4 linked regions of the Kluyveromyces lactis genome follow. The protein of the gene in region 3 purifies or fractionates together with the protein of the main gene of each other region. This does not show direct contact. Links are inferred from orthologs where the notes say so. Each region holds a gene or a part of one and is shown on either strand. Other genes may lie near its edges.

Region 1 (3,324 bases), on a different chromosome or scaffold from region 3:
TTGGTGAATGCTTCCCAAGTTTGAGATCTTTGAAAAGTCTAAGCAACCTTTCAAAACCAAATCTGTGTCATTAAGTTTAGTGTTAGCAACTTTGAAGTACAGGGTTACGAAGTTTTTGAACAATTCTAAAAACTCAGAGTCCCCACTTACAAGAGACCCATCCAAATGGTTACAAATAGCTTCTAAAACTCTTTCAATCAAACCAACAATAGTTGGATCATTGTTAAAATTGTTGTTGTTCAACACTAAAGTCATAATGTGGATGAAATCTTTGATGAAAATATTCATGTTTTCATTACAATTCTCGACGATTTTAGCCAGTAGCTCTAGAGTGACAGAGACATTACCGGAACGTCTTCTGTTCAAATCCGTTGTCGACCTCTTCACAAGGTAACTGCTGACCTTTTCCAATTTTGGACGTCTCGAATTAACATAATATAACAAGTACGAAGTCTCTGACCCTTTTGGCTTCTTATCGGGAGTTCGGCCTGGTGGATAACACTGATTCACCAATTTCTGGTGCTTAGGGGTGAAGAGAAAGCCCATTGACACGGATCGTTGGAGTCTTTTGGATGGGTTTTATCGTCGAACCATCAATAGTGTTGGCGATTTCAATATAGTATGCAATTTCTAAGTTTAAAAAATGTCTTCGAACAAAAAACCCTTTTCCAGTTTTTATTGCGTAATAGAGAGCCAATCATTATATAAACAAGGGAACTAGAAAAACTATAGCTGAAAAAGAACATAATAATGTTAATGATGATCATTATTTAATAAGAGAAGAACAACATATACTTTCTCATTATCTGTCATGTGTTTTCTGAAAGAATTTCAGAGTTTGTTGTATTCTAATAAAATATAGGTAGTTTAAAGACCGAAGTACTGACTGGAGGAAGTCACAAAAGAAACCAGTATCCAGCATTGCTGAAATAATACGAAAAAGGTACCTATGCTCTTGCGAGTAAAGCAATATGTAAACTATGTGTTCGGATACAGTTCCCTCTTTATTCGCTGACATTGTTTTATTTCTTTATAACACTGTGTAAATCTAGATAATCCAATTTTGGGATTGGATTGAAAATAAAATTGACATATACTTGGTGGAAACATAGGAAACTAATTAATAATAGTATCAGCTAAAGCTGTAACGTTGGTTCAAAGGGAAGTTAATCAAAGGCGGTAACCACGTACGATGGCTCCTGTTCCGATTTATGTCAAAGGTGGTATTTGGACGAACCTTGAGGATCAAATATTAAAGGCGGCTGTTCAAAAATATGGAACACATGCATGGAGTAAAGTAGCTTCGCTTCTACAGAAGAAGAATGCCAGGCAATGTCAATCTCGTTGGAATGAATTTTTGAATCCCAGTCTAAACTTCAAACCATTCAGCCAGCAGGAAGATGATAAACTACTAGATTTAGCGAAAAGAATTCCAAACCAATGGAAAAGCATCGGAGAAATGATGGGTAGACCTGCTCAAACATGTATCGACAGATATAATATCCTCCTGGCGATTGATAAGGATGATTTAGAGCTTGCAGCAACTACAGGGGTACAGATCGGTGAGATCAACCCAAATAACGAAAGCTTACCAGCCAAGGCTGATAAAGATGAGCTACTTGACGAGGAGAGAGAAATGTTGGCGGAAGCTCGTGCCAGGCTATTAAACACTCAGGGTAAAAAGGCTACTCGTAAGATAAGAGAACGTATGCTAGAAGAAAGTAAGCGTGTTGCATTCTTACAGAAGCGTAGAGAGTTGAAACAAGCGGGCGTTGATAGTAAAATCAAAGCTCCCAGGAAGAAATATTCTTCGCAGATGGATTACAACGAGGATATTGCGTATGAACAGCAACCACTACCGGGTATATACGATACCTCAAAGGAGGATGAACAGACTGAGAAGCTACTCAAGAGTTTTGAGAAATTGGTAGAAAGGAAAGGTTTACTTGACAGGAAATCTGATGAAAAGAAAACCATACCACAAAAGAGAAGGCAAGGCGAACAAATAACGTCATCAGTAACAAAATTAGATTCTGTACTAACTGATGAGTACAAGAAACCTAAACTTGAGCTTACTCCTGCTACTTTAAAAGGATCAAAACGGAAGATAAACAAAACAACATCTATACTTCATTTATTTGAATCATTGCCTTCTCCTAAGAACGATTTTGAAATTGTATTGGATGATTTAGATGAAGAAATGGAATCCACTGATGCTTTTAATACTGAAAGTTCGTATGTTAATGGTAAATATCCCCTAGAAGCCTTAATATCTTCCACGGAACATCAATCGGAAAACAAGGCAATGGAAATAATGGAATACATACCGACAGTATTCCAAATAAAAACAGAATTACAGGTACCCAGTCCGATAGTAGATCCAAAGAATGAAATTGACCGTGAATTGAATCGTATAATCTCAGCAAAGGAGAATGGTAACCCCATTTACAATTCCACGGAAGTAAACAATTACTTAGAAGAGATCATTAATTCTGCATCCACCACCGAAGTGCCCAGCACTGTCTTACATCCCAAGTTGGAAACTAGCTTAAAAACTATAACACCGGCTACGGAGCACGAACTGCTCGGCATGGAACGAAAAGTGCATGAACTGCGAACAGCGCTTGAGGATTCCGTCAAGTCTCACAGAGAGGCTGTTTCACAACTTTCACAAGATTTTGAAGAAAAACTACATCCGACAGTGTCAGGCTTAGCATACCAATACTACACTGACTACATGAAGTACAGGAACGACCATAAGACTATGCAAGAAGAGACACAATCTCTTGCGGAACAGATCAAACTTGCCCAGCGTAGTCAATGATTACCCGGACCCTTCTTTTTGAGTCTTCCTTCCATAATCATGAAATTTTCAAATTATGAACTTAAAGATGAAAAGATTTACGAAATTGCAAACTTTAAGAACAATATGAGACAGTTAGCAATTGCTCTGTGTGGACATAACAATTCTCCCCTTTATTTCTACTGGAACTCTTTCGAAGCCATCACAAAGCAAATACTAATTCCCGGGCCACGATGATCAGGTACACAGAAGAAGAACTTTTACAATTAAGACCAACCGAACCAGTTAAACCAAACTTCGACGTTGATGAATTCAACGCTATAATTGAAAAAGTGAAAGAAATCCAAGAAGCACATGAAGAAGAATTTTCTCACTTCAGAAGAAGATCTTCTCACCACCATGCTAAACCAAAATTCAAGCATTTGAAACCAAAAATTACTACCGATGAGGAAGGATGGTCTACACTAGAAACTGCTCCAGCGGTCAGAAGAAAGTCTGTGGCTGAAGAAGAAGAACCAACC
Region 2 (4,300 bases), on a different chromosome or scaffold from region 3:
TCTTCGCTAAAAGCAGTTCCCATGAAAGCGTAATTCCATATCGATGACGAAGGTACCAAGAAATTGCCCATAATGCGTTCAGATAATAAAATCTGTGCAGTCTCGCTAAATGAAGCTTCAAACCCTTCTGGTGAAGGGTCCGTTATGTCTTTCGATTGTAAGCCCCAGTTGAAACCCGTAGTGCTTAACGTATATCCTGTAATTGATACGGCACCTGGGATTAGATTTATGCACAAATCAACAGCACTTTCGTTATGATCTGAAAACATTTTGGAATGAGTGATCACTTCAGATGGTGACATGAATTTGGAATCGACTTTTTGGGTATGTATCCATCCCAACAGTTCCATGTCGTTGAGATATTTGGAAGATGAGGGGGGAGGAGATATGCGAACAGTTGCGGAACTGCCGAGTTGAGGGACAAGTGCTATCGTCTTAATTTCCTTCACATTAGGGTGATCTTTTACAGGTGACCCGTACATATACCCTGCAATTTGGACATCGACATCAGCTATTGTGACAAACTTCTTCAACAAGTTCCGTGGGAATACGAGGACATCTTTATCTTCTACAAAATCTTCGGCAGTAACATATATGTTCTTAAGCTTCAAATGTAGCAATGAATTGGAGATTGCATTTGACCGCCAAGCATTTTTCGAACTGAAAGATTGGGACTCATAATTGCTGGATGACACCACTGTAATTTCTTCACCTTGAGCATTGATTGTTTTTAGCTTCATGGCTGCCGTGGCAGACTGCGACGACTCATCAGTTTTCTGATTTCTTGCAGCCTCCAATTCTGCCATCTTCTGCCTCTGAACAGATGGAGCTCTAATGTTCTGTCCTAAAATCAAATTCTTGATTTCAGTTTGAGTCAAAGAAGCAATGTTTACATTGTATTTTTGACCATACTCTAAGAGAATTAGATCACGCATCTTCGTCTCAATTTCAATCCACTGATCATCAGTAAAAGAAGGCCATAGATGATTAGCTCTCGTTGGGATTGTAGGATCCTCTAATAGAATCATTTTGGCTTTTTCTTCATTGGTTTTGAGCGCTCTTAATAGCAATATCAATCTAGAGAAAGCAGTGTAGGCAGAAACTCGAGTTAGCCAGTCATCATAAATGTTGAACAAAACCATCTGCGGTTCTGTAGCGCTTAAAACAACATCATTTAATTTTTCTATGTTCAAAACAGAAGAAAAAGGTAATCTGAGCTCAGTTGGACGAATCGAAATGTTTGGGAAATCTAACATGTGTACTTCCATAGGGTCCATCATAGCTTTTCTAGTAACTATAATTTGTTTAGGTTGTTCTTCTTTGGGTAACGATCTAACCAATGCACTTACTTCTTCTGCGGTTTTCCATTTTGCCAATTGAGCCAATCTGCTCTGCCCCGCCCACACCGAAGTGTGAATTATTTTCAAATATAGTTCACCTGTTTTCGGATTTAAAGTAAACACGCATCCGTTGATAGGCTTAGTAGCCACATTGCCTTCATAAGTTCTATGAACAGTGACCCGGTAAACATTCGTATCATCGATAAAGAATTTTGTGTCATTGGAAAATAGCTCTGCGTAGTTGGATGAGTTCAAAAATGGCTCTTGAACTTGAGATTGATATATCTGAAGACCTTTCCTGATACGCTCCCTCAAAACGTAAAGTGCTGGATTAGCTTTCATTATTGTTTTCATACCGTTGTGTATCAAGGGCTTCAATCCCTCAAACCACGTTCCATAGGAGTCGTAAATATTATAGGCCAAGTCAATACCGATCATAATACCAGTAGGAGACGGGTACAAGCTCACGTTATCTGTGGTGTAATCTAAAAATTTCGCACGGACATATCTTGATATATCATGAGAATCATAGTCACCATATCTAAGCTGCACATCGATCCACATTTTGTCAGTTGTGGTAGCGTCGAAAGAATCTTTCGTCTGATGCAACAATGTTGGTCTGCTAACCTTCCATTTGTAAATACTGTTCAATGTGATGTCAGCAGCAGACGAATTCATCTTATACGACTTACGTGGATGAATTGATTCTTTTTGAACAGATTCAATCTGTAGTATATCCATTTGGCCGTCCAGAATTTGACAGATGTCGAAAACCACACTTTCGTGGATTTTTTGCCATAGATGTGCTCGGAAAATTTGAATTAAAGATATCTTCAATGTTGGAATTTTACCGTGCAAGAATATTCCTGTTAAATCCAATTGCACCAAAAACCCAACGTAGACGTTCGCTCTATTAATCGTCGGAGACCACCATAACGTAAACCTACGATTAGGGATCTGACTCAAACCAGTTCTTTGTGCATGAGTAAGTTTCTTGAACTGCATTGAATCTTCAAAACCAGAGGCTTTCTCCCAGAAAAGTCCTTCCCATGATTTAAAGCCAGTTCCTTTAAATAATGTGTGCTCAAGAATTGTTTCGATACCCCCTAAGGCCTGAATGACATCCGTACGATAGGCATTCAAGTTCCATAATTTACCATCATGACGATTATTTGTCCACCAGAAAGCATTACTACGTTCCACTGAATACTCTTTGAATTGTCGCCTAATCCTGTGACCCTTATCATAGGCTAGCGTATGCCTATCTTTTTGGAATATGGTACTGATCCGCGGTATACCTCTATCCCAAGAACCCTCTAATTCTTCAAATGCCAACCTACGATTTTGTTTTATGGCTTCTTGTCTTTTAGCAGCATAATCCGCCCATACTCTCTGTGAGTCCAAAAATTCGTTCTCCCAGGTAGTAATGTATCGGAAAATTGTTGGTATCATCTTCTCATCTTCGTGGGACATCCCTGCCCTGAAATGTGTTATTCCAGTATCTGTGTGTTTTGACCACCTCAAGTCAGAAGCGGGAATTAAAATGTGCGATGCGCTGAGCATTCCCAAACCACCTAACTCTTTAGGTGTATAAAACACTGCTGGAGGGAACCTTGTTGGCATTTTAGAATTTAAGCCGAGTTTTACTCTATTTTGAACTCTAGTCTCAGATTTCACGAGTAAGTCGAGTAACGGTTCTGTCGTGACGATAGATTCTCTAAAATAGGTAAACAAAGCGATTAGTGCAGTATTCCATTTGCCCACAATTTTTGTAAAAGTTGTGGAGCCGGAACCCATCAAAATACTTTGAATACGACCTCTAAACTCATCAATAGCTTCTTGTGATACCTGTAAAAACGCTTTGGCAGTCCGTTCTTTTGTGGAGTCCAACACCAAATCCCATACACCCTCATCATGAGAAATGACATCTTCCATCCGAGATTTCGGTAGTATTCTCACCTCAAAACCGCACATAGTGAAAAGTAAATTAGGATTATTCTTGCTATAAACTGAAGAAAGAGTATTCTCCCACGTTATGTTAACAAGTGATTTTGGTACCCTAGATGTAAGTTCCCAGAAAACAGCACGACCTAGATTAACATCGTGTCTGATTAACCTCATGCGGGCGTCTCTAGGCCAGCATTTCTTGTTGTTATAACCAACAGAATTTTCAAAATTTGGATCGGGGTTTTCCATCAAATAGTCTTGGATAAGCTCATCAGACTCAGATTCTTCAAAGTGGAATAAAATATGGATTTTGTCAAGATAGCGTGAGTAGAGGCGAATTGGGCTCTTCGTTTCAGTAGCTTTATCTGGAAATTGCAAGAATTCAGATGGTTCGTTTGGAGGGCCTGCTAGTTCCTGTGCCCTTTCATGTCCCAAGATGAGAATATCAATCATTAAACCATAAAATTGATAAACAAATGGTGCAAATTGTAATCCCCTTATTAGACCATATTTGTTAACATGATTCATATCCTTAAAGATCAAACTGACATTATTCTTTGCAGTAATGTAATCCGCTAATGTCGGATCGATAATTAACCTTAGGAGCCTGTTTATTAGTGTCAAATCCATCTTTTCAACGAATTCTTGTAAATCAGTTTGCAACAATACGGTCGATTGCCCTTTGCTGATGTCCCATACAGAATCTAAGTTGTTAATGCCTTGACACCATTTGTAAACAAGAAGTGGCGGGATTTCTGAGTCACCTGGCTTTATCCAACTAGGGAAAAGCTGCCTTCTGTCAGCTTCATACCATAGATACTGGTCAAGATATGCATCGGTAATTTTCTCCAACGGATCAACGTTATAGACTGGAGATATGTGTTGATAATGATCCATCATTGTTAGTTGTATTGGCTTGAATAATCTTTGGGTTAGCAATAGTTTTTTAATTCTATTCAAGGTATCATGAGGATTGTCATATGCCTCTTCAATTAAAGCTAACTCTTCACGTT
Region 3 (2,326 bases):
GACAAAGGTTTGGAACAATTCAAAAATTTGACTATCTGGTGTAGAAATGAATGAATGAATGAAAATTTACACGACAAAATAAAATCTAAAATTATACGAAGGGCATATCATATAAATCGATTGCCTGTTAAAACAATGAAAAGACTCTAAAAATTCAAATTATTTCTCAGTTCATGGCATCTTTTAAAACACCGTTTTACTTTTCTTCCATTTAAACCTTCCTTTCTCTTTCAGTGTTAAGATAATTGTACGGACATTCACTTCATCAGGGGAGAAACATATTATCTTACTTCTTTTATTATGCATCAATAAAAGCCCCGACAAGATTATATTGGGGCAGAACGTTGACTATCTTGTTAAATTACACTTTTACCTTTGAGCCAGAAAGTTGCAGTTTTGTATATTATTTTATTAGTTCTAAGTTTTATAGTTCATGTTTAACAATCGTGTACTAGTACTAAAATGTAATATAGCTATGATACACCAAGCGAAATTATTAATCAATTCTGACTTCTTGACTGCTCGTTTCCTTCTAGTATAGACCTGCGATAGTCTTCACATTTACTGTCTATGGTGTCATCAGACAAATCATCCGGTCCATCCTCTAGTTTATCACGATACTCAGAAACTAATAATTCGATCTGCCTTTTCGCTTTGTGGGATATTACGCTTTCATCTTTAGCAGGTTGTATTTGTTGCTGCTGTTGCTGTTGCTGTTGTTCTTTATCATGTGTAGTTAATCTAGGGTCCTTTTTCCTGTTCGTAAATGCTAACGATTGTTGAACGTAACCGGAGGTGCTGCTTCCCTTGGCACTAGATAAACCGATGCCGTTATATGACATTATTATATAGAGACACGAGCAGCTGGGTTGGTATATTCCCTTCAGCAGCCAAGAGTGTAATGGTTTGAAGTGACAGTGATACTGCAGCGTGTAGCTTAACTCATTCCATTTCATCAATTCGTTAAAACTGATATAGCTATTATTAATAATGTGATGTATGGGTGTTTAACTCTGGAATACTTAAATACACGCATACATATCGTTACTAGACAGAGGGACAGTAGAGTGAAGACATCCACTTTCAAACTTGAAACTGAAGTATGACATACTTATCATCTGACCAACTGATGGAACTAAACGTAGAATCCAGTGTGCGCGTACCAATAGGTTTCATCAAGGATCCGTTTAGCCATGCTAGGTTCCGTAATAAATTCGTAATCAAATCATGGTTTTCGATTGTATTGGCAATGTAGAATACCATTAGATCGCATTGAAAATTATCGTGGTCTAAGAATTCCCATATTTTGAGTATGAGTTGCCGAAGGTCCTGTGAGTACGCAGATGTGGAGACATGGTGTAGATAAATCGATGCAATTTTCCCCAGATCGGATGATAGAAGGATTTTACCGAACAGCTGGAAAGTTGGGTCCAAGATAGTAAAATAGTTAGAACCAATATCATAAACCTTCGAATCCATTGATCTCCCACGCACCAATTGTTTCAAGAGTTTACTGACATTTTTCACAAGATACGTCGTCCAAAGTTTATAATCTTGCGGTTTAAACTGGTAAAACTTGGATTCGAATAGAAATAAGATATCCCAATACTGTTCCAACTGAAATTTACACAATCCGGTGCTACGCCAGCCGAAGAGTAACATCTGACCATTCTCTGTTCTTAAACTGGTAAAAATTTGGTGATATTAGAAATTCATCCGAATTATTATCTGTCGTTGTGGAAGAAGGTAGTACGTCTATGTTATCGTGTCTTTTATTTTTCGTCAAGTCAATAAGTGGGAAGTCGATAGCCAAGGGGGAAAACTCATCTAGTAAACCCGATACATAGCTTTCTATCCTCTGTTGTCTCTTGTATAGCTCGTTTCTATGTATTACTCTACTCATTTTGGAGAGTGATGCGGGCAAAATTTATGATATAACTGACTGAAGGAGTCGGGAACAGCGTTTTGATAACCAACCAGGTGAAATATTGTTTAACAAACCGATAAGCTGGTATGAGCTAGTCATAGTCATTCCTTTATTTACCATTACATAACGCACTTATATGATACACCTTTGCATATCACATGGACGGTGTTTGAATTGTGATTTTCAATTGTGAGGGTTAAGATGAAGGAGGGTAATGCACGGATAAACCCGGGTAACCATTCACACACCGCAAGTCATGTGATGAGCTAGCTCCGGGGTTCCTGCCGCTAGAAATGCCGGTAAACAAAATGACCAAAATCCTGCACGTCTTTTCTGAGGGCAAAGAGACCTGAAAGAAGTGTTCGAATTTGGATGTGCCCTGCTAGATGTTTCTATTAA
Region 4 (3,092 bases), on a different chromosome or scaffold from region 3:
TGCTGTTAATGGATAGAATTTCAGCAAGACGATCTTGACCATCTTTTAGTACCCATGACTTGCATCCAACGAAAATCTCATCGATGCTGTCAACCTTCTGGGGAATCCCAGGTTCCTTTTCTTCGCCGTGACTCATGTATTAGCGAGCTCGCCCAAAATATTTGTTAAACAGTTGCCTTGCCTTACTAGTTCCTCTTACAGAGGTGCTCTGTTTTTGGATTTGGTTTATTGCGTAACTAATAAGTTCAAATATTTTGAAGATGCTAAATTTCAGTTAATTTATTCAGATTACCGTATTAAAGCAAACACCATGCTTGAACAAACATACAAGAAAACCTGACGTTCCCTGTCCTTGACTACGTGACTGTAATCATATGACAGTTAGAGCAAACCTCGCAATTAATGCAGACTGAAATATTCTAGATAGATGGAAAACGGGGACCTAATAGAGTTAAACTACAAACTTCTACATAAGTCGCTGCAAGTAGACACCAGCTAGATTAGAATCTTTGAGATATTAACGTGGGATTCCACGGCAAGCCAGGGAATGTATCTTCTGTAGCATCAGGGACTTGCTTCCATATTTTGATGCTTTTGTCTCCTTCCCCTGTGATGAGTCTTGTTCCTGTGACATCAAAGGTGCTGCATAAAATCGATCGCTCACTTTCAAGTGAGCCAGCAACTTCAGTTGTCATCATACTTTGGTATTTGTGTCCTGTTTTGTAATCGTAAAAGCACAAAGTACCGTCATCTCCACCAGCTAATAGTACATTATCGTGATTAATTGATACGGTATTCAAAATCCCAGTGTTCTGGGATTGAAAGTTGGTTAATAGCTGTCCTTCGGGCAATTTCCAGGATCTGACGTCGTTCGTAGATACACTGGCAAAGCTAAACTCTGCTGGGTGTAGCGTCAAGTCTCTGATGTTTCTACTATGGTGCGTTAAAACTTTGCTTGCCTTCCCTGCAATGATATCCCAAAGTCTAACTGTTGCATCCCCGGAACAACTGATTATTTGTGGGTCAACGGGAAGGCATTTGACTTTATTTATAGGGCTTTTATGACCGGGCAGAACCATTATCTCAGATCTTGATCGTATATCCCACAACCTTACTACAGCATCACGACCAGCAGTAGCTATTATATCAAGGCTCGGATGAACATCAACGGTATGCACGCCAGATAAATGACCGTGAAAATCCCTAATTGCAGTATTTCTTTCTAGATCCCAACATTTTACAAGTTTATCTTCGCTTGCTGAGAACATATAAGGATGTCTCTTTGAGATAGCAATATCTCGAACACTCATTACATGCCCGATTAGAGTAATTTTCAACTTTCCCGCAGCTAAATCCCAGATTTTAATGGTTGTATCGTTGCTACCAGTAGCAAACCATTCATTGTCAACGGGGTCCACGCATACACATCTTACCCATCCAGTATGACCATTTATTACCTTACTGAGTTTCCATGGTGCATGCCATTGCGGTTTATAACTTCGAGTCTTTTCATAACGTTCCATCAATGAAATCTGCTGATGTGGCTGTTGGAACACTCTTCGTACTAGTTGGTCGCCTGGTTTTGTGGTATGTTTGACTAATGCTTGAGAGCTTTCGTTTGCAACAGTTTTCGACACCTCAACTAATTCACTGTACCTTTCTAAAACAGTCTTTTCTTGATCCAGGCACTTCTGTAACGACTCAGGTAAATAATCAGCATGTTTAAATTCATTATTCCACCGAGTTTGAACGTAAACATCATCTGCTACCTTCGAAGGTTCAGAGCTACGGCTGGATGTATTCATTGGTACTTATTAGTTGTCTATCAGTTCGATTAAGTCGTGTAACTCTCTTTCATCTTTGTATATGTCACTTCGTTAACTTTTCATAATATCCATCATACAAAACGGTTCTTTTCGTTTCTTGAAAAATTTCGAGCTCATCTCATCTCATCTCATCACATTGAAGCAGAAGTCAGTTGTTCAAATCTGGAAGCTGCGCTTCTTAATTGCTTATAACAAGTACCAGGTATTAGTACTCTCGTGTTAAAGTATAGTATTGGTATAATGTCAGACCAATCTTTGAAAAGAGAGTCCGAAGCTGCTGCCCAGCAAGAAGATATTAAGAGGACAAAAGTTGGTGAAGGTATAAATGAAGGTATAAACAATAACAACATCACTGAAAAGGATGTTGGTATCACGCATTACTTATCAATGGATAATGTTGGTTTCAATGGTCAGATCAAACAAAGGTACACTGACTTTTTAGTCAATGAAATCACCAAGCAAGGCGAAGTTGTGCATTTGACTGACAAAGGTTTTAATATGCCAAAGAAGCCAAAGCCAACGAGAGAACAAATCGAGCAATCGCAAAAAGAAGAACTTGAGAAACGCCAAGGATTTAAGGTGGATGAAGGAATTAGAAATGAACTTGTTGAACTTTTGGGAGAAGAGGATGTTCAAAAAATTGAAGCTGTGTACCGCTCAAATAAAAAGATTGAAACATCGAAGGCATTCGATGATAAACTTGAAAGGACTAAAATACATCAACTGCTACGTAGAGCTTTCGACAACAAGTTAGAATCTGTAACGACGGATTCAAACCATTTCATTGTTGGAATGGCTTCTCGCCAAACACGTGTTAGCAAAGAAGAATTGATCGAACAAACTAAGGATGCAAACGGTGTCGAAAACTGGGGTTATGGTCCATCAAAATCGTTTATTCATTTTACTGTCTATAAGGAAAACAAAGATACTATGGATGTCGCTAATACTTTATCAAAATTCATGAGAATTCCAACAAGGTTGATCAGATTTTCTGGAACAAAGGATCGTAGGGCTGTCACTTGTCAAAGAATGTCTTTATCCAAAATTGGTTTGGACAGATTAAACGGACTAAACAAGGGCTTGAAGGGTGTCGTTCTAGGTGGCTACAAATTCGAAGATGAGCCATTGAACTTGGGAGATCTACAGGGAAACGAATTCACTATTGCTATCAGAGATGTTTCATTGAAGAATGAAGGCGATGATTTGGATGATATCCTAGCCAATGGCATGAAATCCTTGGAACAAAATGGGTTCATCAATTATTTC

Evidence for each region.
Region 1: the proteins of CWC21 (region 3) and CEF1 purify together in Saccharomyces cerevisiae (affinity purification with mass spectrometry; 4 studies listed by BioGRID, with this or other methods). This does not show direct contact. The link is inferred for Kluyveromyces lactis from reciprocal best matches to the Saccharomyces cerevisiae genes CWC21 and CEF1.
Region 2: the proteins of CWC21 (region 3) and PRP8 purify together in Saccharomyces cerevisiae (affinity purification with mass spectrometry; 3 studies listed by BioGRID, with this or other methods). This does not show direct contact. The link is inferred for Kluyveromyces lactis from reciprocal best matches to the Saccharomyces cerevisiae genes CWC21 and PRP8.
Region 4: the proteins of CWC21 (region 3) and PRP46 purify together in Saccharomyces cerevisiae (affinity purification with mass spectrometry, with the first as the bait; 3 studies listed by BioGRID). This does not show direct contact. The link is inferred for Kluyveromyces lactis from reciprocal best matches to the Saccharomyces cerevisiae genes CWC21 and PRP46.

What each region holds. Positions count from the first base shown.
Region 1 is NC_006039.1:634,851-638,174, reverse strand, and holds CEF1 (Cef1p), read left to right. Parts: upstream 1-1,192; coding exon 1,193-2,824; downstream 2,825-3,324. Other genes in the region: EFR3 (Efr3p), read right to left, coding at 1-546; CAF20 (Caf20p), read left to right, coding at 3,037-3,324. UniProt on the Saccharomyces cerevisiae protein: Involved in pre-mRNA splicing and cell cycle control.
Region 2 is NC_006037.1:471,930-476,229, reverse strand, and holds part of PRP8 (U4/U6-U5 snRNP complex subunit PRP8), read right to left. Parts: coding exon 1-4,300. UniProt on the Saccharomyces cerevisiae protein: Functions as a scaffold that mediates the ordered assembly of spliceosomal proteins and snRNAs. Required for association of BRR2 with the spliceosomal U5 snRNP, and the subsequent assembly of the U4/U6-U5 tri-snRNP complex.
Region 3 is NC_006038.1:878,805-881,130, reverse strand, and holds CWC21 (U2-type spliceosomal complex subunit CWC21), read right to left. Parts: upstream 957-2,326; coding exon 501-956; downstream 1-500. Other genes in the region: KLLA0_B10076g (uncharacterized protein), read left to right, coding at 1-54; OAZ1 (Oaz1p), read right to left, coding at 1,084-1,662. UniProt on the Saccharomyces cerevisiae protein: Involved in pre-mRNA splicing. May function at or prior to the first catalytic step of splicing at the catalytic center of the spliceosome, together with ISY1. May do so by stabilizing the catalytic center or the position of the RNA substrate.
Region 4 is NC_006042.1:1,034,208-1,037,299, forward strand, and holds PRP46 (mRNA splicing protein PRP46), read right to left. Parts: upstream 1,806-3,092; coding exon 501-1,805; downstream 1-500. Other genes in the region: NuA4 histone acetyltransferase complex catalytic subunit ESA1, read right to left, coding at 1-136; pseudouridine synthase PUS7, read left to right, coding at 2,067-3,092. UniProt on the Saccharomyces cerevisiae protein: Involved in pre-mRNA splicing. May also be required for cell cycle progression at G2/M.